2 linked regions of the Cricetulus griseus genome follow. Each later gene encodes a partner of the first gene's protein in a complex. Links are inferred from orthologs where the notes say so. Each region holds a gene or a part of one and is shown in the gene's direction. Other genes may lie near its edges.

Region 1 (4,363 bases):
GAGTCAACTCATTTATTAAACCAATCAGAAGGCGCCTTGTCAAAGAGGCATCTTCACATCGTACAGAAAGATTATTCCATAACAGACACTGACAAGGAAGCAAGAGGTATATAATCCTGTGATTATTATTCATATTTTTATTTTCTCTATTTTCTGTTTTGGTTTGGTTTGGAGACATGGTCTAATGTAGCTGAGCCTGGCCATGAATTTTGTTTTACCCCGGAAATACTGGGGCGACAGGAGAGCACTAACACACAGCTAATTTTTCTACTTGGACTGTACACATTTTTCTTTGGATTCATGTGAGTACTTTGTATGCTAAGACAGCCTTCCTTTACAGTCAACCAGATTCCTTAATTTTTCTCTCTGATACATGGTGGGATTCATTTACTTGTACAAGATACGTTATCGATTTATGTCTATTTTTTGCACTGGAGATCACCATCCAGCTGTACCCCTAGCCATCCATGTGCACGGTAGTTGAAAGGAAAAGGATGTACCATGCACCCACGCATCTCTAAAGCACAGTACATTTTCAATCATTATTTTTTGCAAAACACAGGGAGAATCAAAATTAGAAAGTGACTAGTTTGCAAAACGCAGGAAGAACCCAAGTTAGAAAGTGAAATGACGTCACAGCCAAGGCTTCAGAGCTGGCATCGCGCTGACCTTGCACATCCTAAGTTACTAGGAGCGATCTAAAGAGTGGAGACCGAAGACCTTAAACAAAACAAAACAAAACAATCTAGGAACTGCCGTTTACAACGAGCACCCTCCTTAACTTTCTTGCCCTTCTCCATTTGTGCTAAAACGGGAAACCAAGAGGCTACAGCGGCGGCAGGCATGAGCTCACGCTAGCATGACGTCACGAGCACTTGACGTCAGAAGGCGGTTGCCACGGGGACCGTTCGCCACCGACGGCAGAGTCGTGAAAGTCCATCCCCACAAGACTCGGTTCTGGCCTCTGCGCGGTTGAAGCTGCTAGAGAAGCTTCAGCCTTAAGGGGGCCTCAGGGAGAGAGGAGTGGCGCCGCGGCCGAGTGCTCCATCTCTGCGGCTGTGGGGCCCGAGCCGCGGCCTGGGCGGCGGCGGCGGCCGCTCCGCGTCTCCTCATCGCTGCAGCGCGCGGGGCGGATCCGCCATATTGGAGCCGGGCGCGGGTTCCGTGCAGCGGCGGCGGCGGCGGCGGCGCGAGGCGGCCTGGCAGCGGGGCCCGCGCGGCGGAGGAGCGCATGAGCCGCCGGCGCTAGCCTCTTCCCCGCCCACCGCCTGCGCTGGGCCGTCGGGACCCGGCCGGGAGGGGCCGCGGCGGCCGCAGGATGTTCTCTAAGAAGCCGCACGGGGACGTGAAGAAGTCCACCCAGAAGGTGCTGGACACCAAGAAGGACGCGCTGACCCGCCTCAAGCACCTGCGCATCGTCATCGGTGAGGAGGGTAGCGACCCCGGGGGCGACGCCTCGGCCTCGCTGCCCGCCCGGCCCGTCATCCCCGCGAGCTCCGGGGTTCGCCCTCGCGACTTGGCGCGGTCCGGAGTGAGGGCCGGCGGCGCCTGTGCCCACGCGCGGGAGGGCGAGCGGGCGGGCGAGGGAGCGGGCGGGCGGGCGGCGAGGGTAGGGGCAGCTTGGCAGTTGGCACAAACCAATCAGCGCCAACACGGAGAGACCCCACGTCTGAGTTCGTGGTCTGAATTCTTTTTAAAAACAAAAACAAAAACGAGCGTCAGCTTAGAAACTTAAGTCCTTGATGAGACTTCAGGGACACTTGGTGTTGTGGGTAATGGTGTTTAGAGGATGTGTGTTGCCAGATGACTACTGTCATCCCCACCCAAGTGGAAAGAAAAGCAAAATGCTCGCTTGGGCAGTATAACCCGTAGTCCTTCAAGTTTTTTTGGCAGGTGAGGGAGGGCCTGGAGGAAGCAGTTACACCTCTTTGGGAAGTGGGTGGCTCCTGAAGCTTGTGGGAGAGGACCCCGCCCTACTCTCAATACACCCTGTTCTTCATTTGCTGTCCTTTAGAAGGAAAACTAATTATAGAGAGCAAGAACTGTACCGAATTCAATTTTCATGAAAGTTTTCTTGCTGTCAGCCGTCTTCAACTTGAGTTTTTTCCAAAGACCGAACCGAGCTGAGTTTGGGATATAATGTTAAATGAGGGTTTTTGGATACTTGGTCGTAGATATTGTGAAGGACTGAGAGCTATGTACTTATGGAACTTTTGGTTCTGTACTTCTTTTTGTTTTGATGAAGAAATTGGGGATGAAAAGGGAAATTGGCCAGGGTTCGTGTATAGAATAATAGCATAACTGAGGTTAGAGCCCACATGCCTGGATTCGAATTCAAAGTTTATCATCTCAAGCTTTCTTCCTAATGACTGTTTTGGGAAGTGACTTGCATGTTTATTGGTGTGTCTGTGTCAGAGATATATTTCCTTAATGTGTTGTAACTAACACCACTAATAACACCCAACATTTGTGTGGTGCTTTGCCATCTACAAAGGGTTTCACATGAATTATTGTAATCGATCTTTGCAATCTGTCTACAAATAGAGATATTATTGACATTTTTTTGTACCAACAAGAAAGATTAAGCCATGTTTCTACTAAACTGATGGGAGACTAAATCACAAATGAAGCCCAGATTTTGTGTCTCTTAATTTGTTTTTCATCTTTCCTACATGTATGACAGCTAATCCTTATCACAAGTACTTATTCCTGTGGTATAATGAGAAGGGAATTAAACCCAGTTTATGTAAACCATTTAGATATGGTAGAAGTTTTTAACATTTTCATTCTGGAGTTGTCATTGAAGCAAGATTTGTCTGAAAAGATATGACTGAGACATACAAAGTCATCGTGAATGTAGATGTATTACAAAATAATGGCAGTGTGAAACTGGACACTTAGTGGAACTTGACACTCACTTGAGACAAGCTGTGGACTGCATAAATGCAGAACTAAAAAGCTGAATTACACCAGGGTATTGCGATTTCTTAAATTAACCGCCACAGTTGATTAAGGATTGGTTTCTTTATATTTCTTTGGCATGTGGTTTTTGTGGTTTTTTTGTGTGTGTCACACTGTGTGTGTGTGTGTGTGTGTGTGTGTGTGTGTGTGTGTGTGTGTGTTTACTAACTTGGGAAACATGAGAGATGAATTATAGTCATGTTGGATAGTTTGTAGAACTAGCTTCTTCAATTTGAAAATAAAACACTTAAAAAGAAAAAAAAAACCCACCATTTTCCCCCTTTATTAAGGATACTCTTTTTTAAAAAATAAAAATCACTTCAGAAGACATCTTTCAGGACTCTCAGATGTTGAACATTCTTACAGACCTGTGCCTTTAGAGTAGAAGACTACACTAAAGTAGCTGTAGAACCATGGTACTTAATTGGACAGATTTTATCAGTACCAGATAGGTGACCATATCTGGAAACACTTCTGTGAGGAGTTGCTACTAGATTATGTCTAGTATGCTAGACACTGCTAAATGAATGGAAAAATCTCTCAAAAAGGATATTCAAGTTTGAAGAGTCAGAATACCAGGATCTGAGACCTTGTCATAATGCATACTGTAAGATGGACTCCCAAATTCGAAGCTTGGTTTTAAGTTCTCTCCCTCTGCCTCATGGCTAGGAATTGAACTTGGGGCCCAAGTGTGCTAGCAGGCACTTTGTTACTGAGCAACATTTCAGCTTCAATATTTAAATTTAGTAAAATAGTCTATATTTTTATATATTTATGGTTACTTAAAATAAGATTAATATGATTTCTGAGAAAATGAGAGAGAGAAGTAAACAAAGTTGGACACTTAGAGACTTGCCAATTGGTATCCTATTTTGTAGCTGGAAGAGCCATTTTAAAGCCTTTTTGGAAATAAGTAAGGCTTTAAGTAAATACAATGAATAAACTATTTAGTTGGCTAATTACACAGAACCATATTGAACCAAAAAAAAGTGCTATTCACTGGGGATACTTATAGGGAAGTTCTGTACATCCAGAAAATAAAATAGCAACCTCCACCCCCCCACACTTAGAAAAAGTGTTTTCAGGCATGACCTGTCTCCTGTTGGCACCACTATTCTATAGCTACTTTAGTGTGGTCTTCTGTACAGATCCCTACTCACAGGGCAGCGGTGTGGAAGAGTACTCAACATTTGGAAGTCTTTGAAGATGTCTTCTACAGCGCTTTTCATTAAAAATATATTTTATTTTTTATGTGTATAGATGTTCTGCCTTCATGTATGCCTGCACAATACATGTGTGCTTGGTGCCCAAGAAAGCCAGAAGAGGGTGTTGGATTCTCAGGAAGTAGAGTTACAGATAGTTGTGAGCAACCATGTGGGTGCTGGGACTTGAACCTCTAGGT
Region 2 (3,819 bases), on another chromosome or scaffold:
AACATCTGCCTCAGATATTCTTTCGTGCCATGCGTGGAATCAGCTGTCTGGTGGATGCATTCTTAGGTGAATTTTGTGTATGTTTCTTAGATGTTTGAGAGCTGTGTGTAGATATTCTACAGCGTAATGCTGGAAGCTCTTAGGAAAGCCCAGAGAAAGAGGAATAAACTTCATGATAAATAACAATCTAGGGAAAATTATTTTCAGCAAATTGTGATAGATAGAATGCTACTGCCTTTATGTAAATAAACAAAAATACCATAAAAAAGACAGTAACCTAGTAGATAAAAACACAAATGATTCGCAAAACATTGTAAATTGTAAAACTCATTGTACGAGTTACCCTCAAAAATAGTTTAAAATGCTCTGGTGACTGTTTTCATAGATATCTTTTTTTTCTTTTTTTTTTTTTTTTTTGTAGGTATTTCTCGACCAAGATCAGACAGTGCTCCCCCAACACCCGTGAACAGATTAAGTATGCCTCAGAGCACTGCTGTGAATACCACACCACCACATAACCGGAGGCACAGGGCTGTTACTGTGAATAAGGCCACCATGAAGACAAGTGCAGTAAGATCATTCAGCATCATTTAGCTTTATGAAGGTTAACTTTTATAAGTCCCAAACTCTTCCAACTTTTCATGGCTGTGGACACTTACTTGTGTTCTTCTGCTAGGTTACTACTGTTCACACTTCGAAAGTCCAGCACCAGGCATCCTCTACTTCTCCTCTGTCAAGTCCAAATCAGACTAGTTCAGAGCCCAGGCCACTGCCTGCCCCTCGGAGACCAAAGGTTAACAGCATCTTGAATCTCTTTGGATCATGGTTATTCGATGCAGCATTTGTTCACTGCAAACTCCATAACGGAATAAACAGAGACAGCAGCATGACTGGTAAATATGCCCAGAAACATGTAGTCATTATTCCCTTTCTGTTTCTTTCTCTTTAGTCTTTCCTACCTGCAAGATTAATACAGCTCTTGAAAGCACCCTGTTTCTCACCAAGCAATATGTTGTGCTTAACCCCTTCCAGCTGAACCAATAGAAACTTGTGAAGTATTCCTATCTGTCCTTTTTATGTATACTTTATGAAGTTTGGTCCTTTGCCTGGTTTTATTAGGGACTCTTCAGGTTAGCCACTTTGTGTTGAATCAAATTCCATTTTTGTAGGTGACCTGGAAATTCCCTTCATGTCAGCCAGGATAATAATAGATTTATGAACAATTAAAGGTTTTGAGTAAAAGTTTATTCATTGAAATGTTTTCTTAGATTTTTCACAACCATTTAATCATCATTACATGTAAATATCAGGAATTTTCTGTTTTCTTAATAAACCAATCCCAGTATCTTCATTGGATTTACTATAGAATGAAATCGTCTAAATGAAATTGGATTTATTTTGTCAACTTACTACTATGCTTAGAGCTAGTGCCAGATGGATGGGTAAGTCAGGGCAGAATGTTTGGAATGGTTATCATCTGTCTTGCACAGCTGAATAATAATAATGGCTGGTATTTATTGAGTTGCTGTTAGTGTGTGCCGGGTCCCATGTTTATGCATTAATTAGTATATTAGTTGTTTTCTAAATAAATACTTTTCTACAGGAGTTGGAGACAGATTGAGGTAAAAAGATTTCTGATAGTATTACTTTCTGACAGTTTTATTCTCCAGAGGACACTGTTGAATTCAAGGATAAAATTAAGTGTTCATAAGGGTCTCTGCTTTTTCTCAGAAACTCATTCACAGCTAGGTTTATGTCTGTGAATATTTTGTAAGTGTAATTATTTTGGATGTTCTTAGAAACTTTTAAATAATTTAGAAAAGTTTTAAGTATGAAGTTGTTATGGAATATGAGGCTGCATGAGTGAGTTTGAGATTCTTTTGCTTGCTTTATTTTGTTCAAATTCAGGCGCTTTATATTTTTCCATTTTTACATTATGGTTTTATTCATGAGCTCCATTAAATTAAAAGTTTTAAAAACCATTCATGGGTATATTTTCATTATCTTATGTGCTATATGTTTTGAATTTTCTGAACCATGTTTATTAATTTATATAGTATTGTCCAGAGTGAGTTAGCCTTTAATTTTTTGATAAGGTGTGTTTCTTACAATGTAACCTAACTGTTGAGTAGGGAGCTGTTGGCTTTGCAAAAAATCTCTGAGTCTAGAATGGCTTAATCTGCTGCTTTCTGGTAGGCTTGTATAATGAGTATCTAGAGCTTTCTATCTCTGGGGAGTTTGTAACAGCTTTGTTATTTCACTGTACTAGAAGAATTCAAATGACAAGTGAGCAACATCTCACTTTCCCGTCTTAAAGGAGAGACATTCCTTCTGTCTGTGTTCAGAGATGCTAAAGGCTGTTACATTACCCAGGAGATTTGAGGTGTCCAAATAGTTAAAGTAGATTTAGAGTGCTCTTGGGTGCCAGTCTGGAAGCCTTGGATGGGAGGTGGGGGGATTGGGGTATCGTGTGTTTTCTAAGTACTGGCTGCCATCAAGGAATTCTGCCATGCAGTTCACCTTTAACTCAAGTATTTGCTTCTTTGAACTTGTTAGCTTTCAATTTACCTGATGCACTGTGCTTTGTAAAAGTAACATTGAGCTGGGAAGGGTTAATGAACTAAAAATTTTGATGCACGATATGGGCAGTTCAAAACCTCAATTCTTTGTAGCTATGTAATTTTCTTTGTTCATTGTTTTGCATGATACAAAAATCATAATTTTGGACCTGAATGCACAATTTCCTATGTTTTTGAACTAGCTTGTGGTATCATAAACTTTAAATCTAACTTTTAAAAAGCTAAAAAGCTTCTTAATTTATTGTAAAATTTCACCATCTTTAAAGTATTTTATAATTACTGCTGTCCTTTGATTTGTTTCCATTTATTTCTATTATCTTGCAGCATCTTTTATCCAAATTCTTCTTTCTTATAAATCTTGTAAGTAGGAACCAGAAGCTTCTCCTTAATTGCAGTCATGTTTTTATTTTTTCCATAATTCCATTAAAATTTTTGATTGTCATTGTCTATTGTAGTTTTTGCACTTGGGAAGGAAAATATTTTTTCTGTGTTTTGAATGGGGAAGATTGTTGGCAAAAGCAAATTAATCTGCCTGAATCAATCCCATTATTTCTGTATACTAGTCTGGTCATGTCATGAATTCCAGGACTTTGCACTAACTGTGTTTTGGCTTTTTTCTTTTCTTTCTTTCTTTCTTTCTTTTTTTTTTTTAAGCTTTAAGCTTATTTTTATACAGATTTAGTGTTTGATTTGTATGCATTCTGCATGTAGTGTTTTCCAAATGTATTATTGCTGGATAGCTTATTCAGGACTAAAATGGCTCATGGGAAGTTGCATAAAGATTTATGCTTGACTCTGCATTTATTAAGCCTCCTATCATTACAAAACAATTTAAACATTTTATGTAGAGTAATAAAAGATTTCAGAGTGATCTGTGTGCTGTGAAATCTTTTGTTAAAAGCAACTTTCGAAGGGCTTCTGTTTTGGTGACAATGAATGACCATGATAATCCTCCTTATCAACCCAGTTTTCTGATTTATCAACCTCAAGTTTGCTGCTGTCTGTGGTTGTTAAAATTCATTCTCATTTGCTTGGTTCGGCAGCTCTTTGGTGTGTGTTTTGGAGCTGGGTGGGTGGTGGGAATGCCCTCTCTTCCTCCCTTACTTAGTTCTCATCCTTACCCTGCCATATTCAAACTAAGAATTGCCCTCTTAATTACTTTGTCCATTTTAGTTAATTGTATAAATTGTAATTGCTACTCTTCTTAATGGTTAAGTATCATTCTATAGAAGGAGGAAAA

The links.
Region 2: Ralgapa1 (region 1) and Ralgapb share a complex: the UniProt entries of both Homo sapiens proteins name them as parts of the heterodimeric RalGAP1 complex. The link is inferred for Cricetulus griseus from reciprocal best matches to the Homo sapiens genes RALGAPA1 and RALGAPB.

What each region holds. Positions count from the first base shown.
Region 1 is NC_048598.1:146,589,749-146,594,111, forward strand, and holds the start of Ralgapa1 (ral GTPase-activating protein subunit alpha-1), read left to right. Parts: upstream 1-1,288; 5' UTR 1,289-1,318; coding exon 1,319-1,424; intron 1,425-4,363. UniProt on the Homo sapiens protein: Catalytic subunit of the heterodimeric RalGAP1 complex which acts as a GTPase activator for the Ras-like small GTPases RALA and RALB.
Region 2 is NC_048599.1:21,060,769-21,064,587, reverse strand, and holds part of Ralgapb (ral GTPase-activating protein subunit beta), read left to right. Parts: coding exon 1-66; intron 67-421; coding exon 422-570; intron 571-676; coding exon 677-893; intron 894-3,819. UniProt on the Homo sapiens protein: Non-catalytic subunit of the heterodimeric RalGAP1 and RalGAP2 complexes which act as GTPase activators for the Ras-like small GTPases RALA and RALB.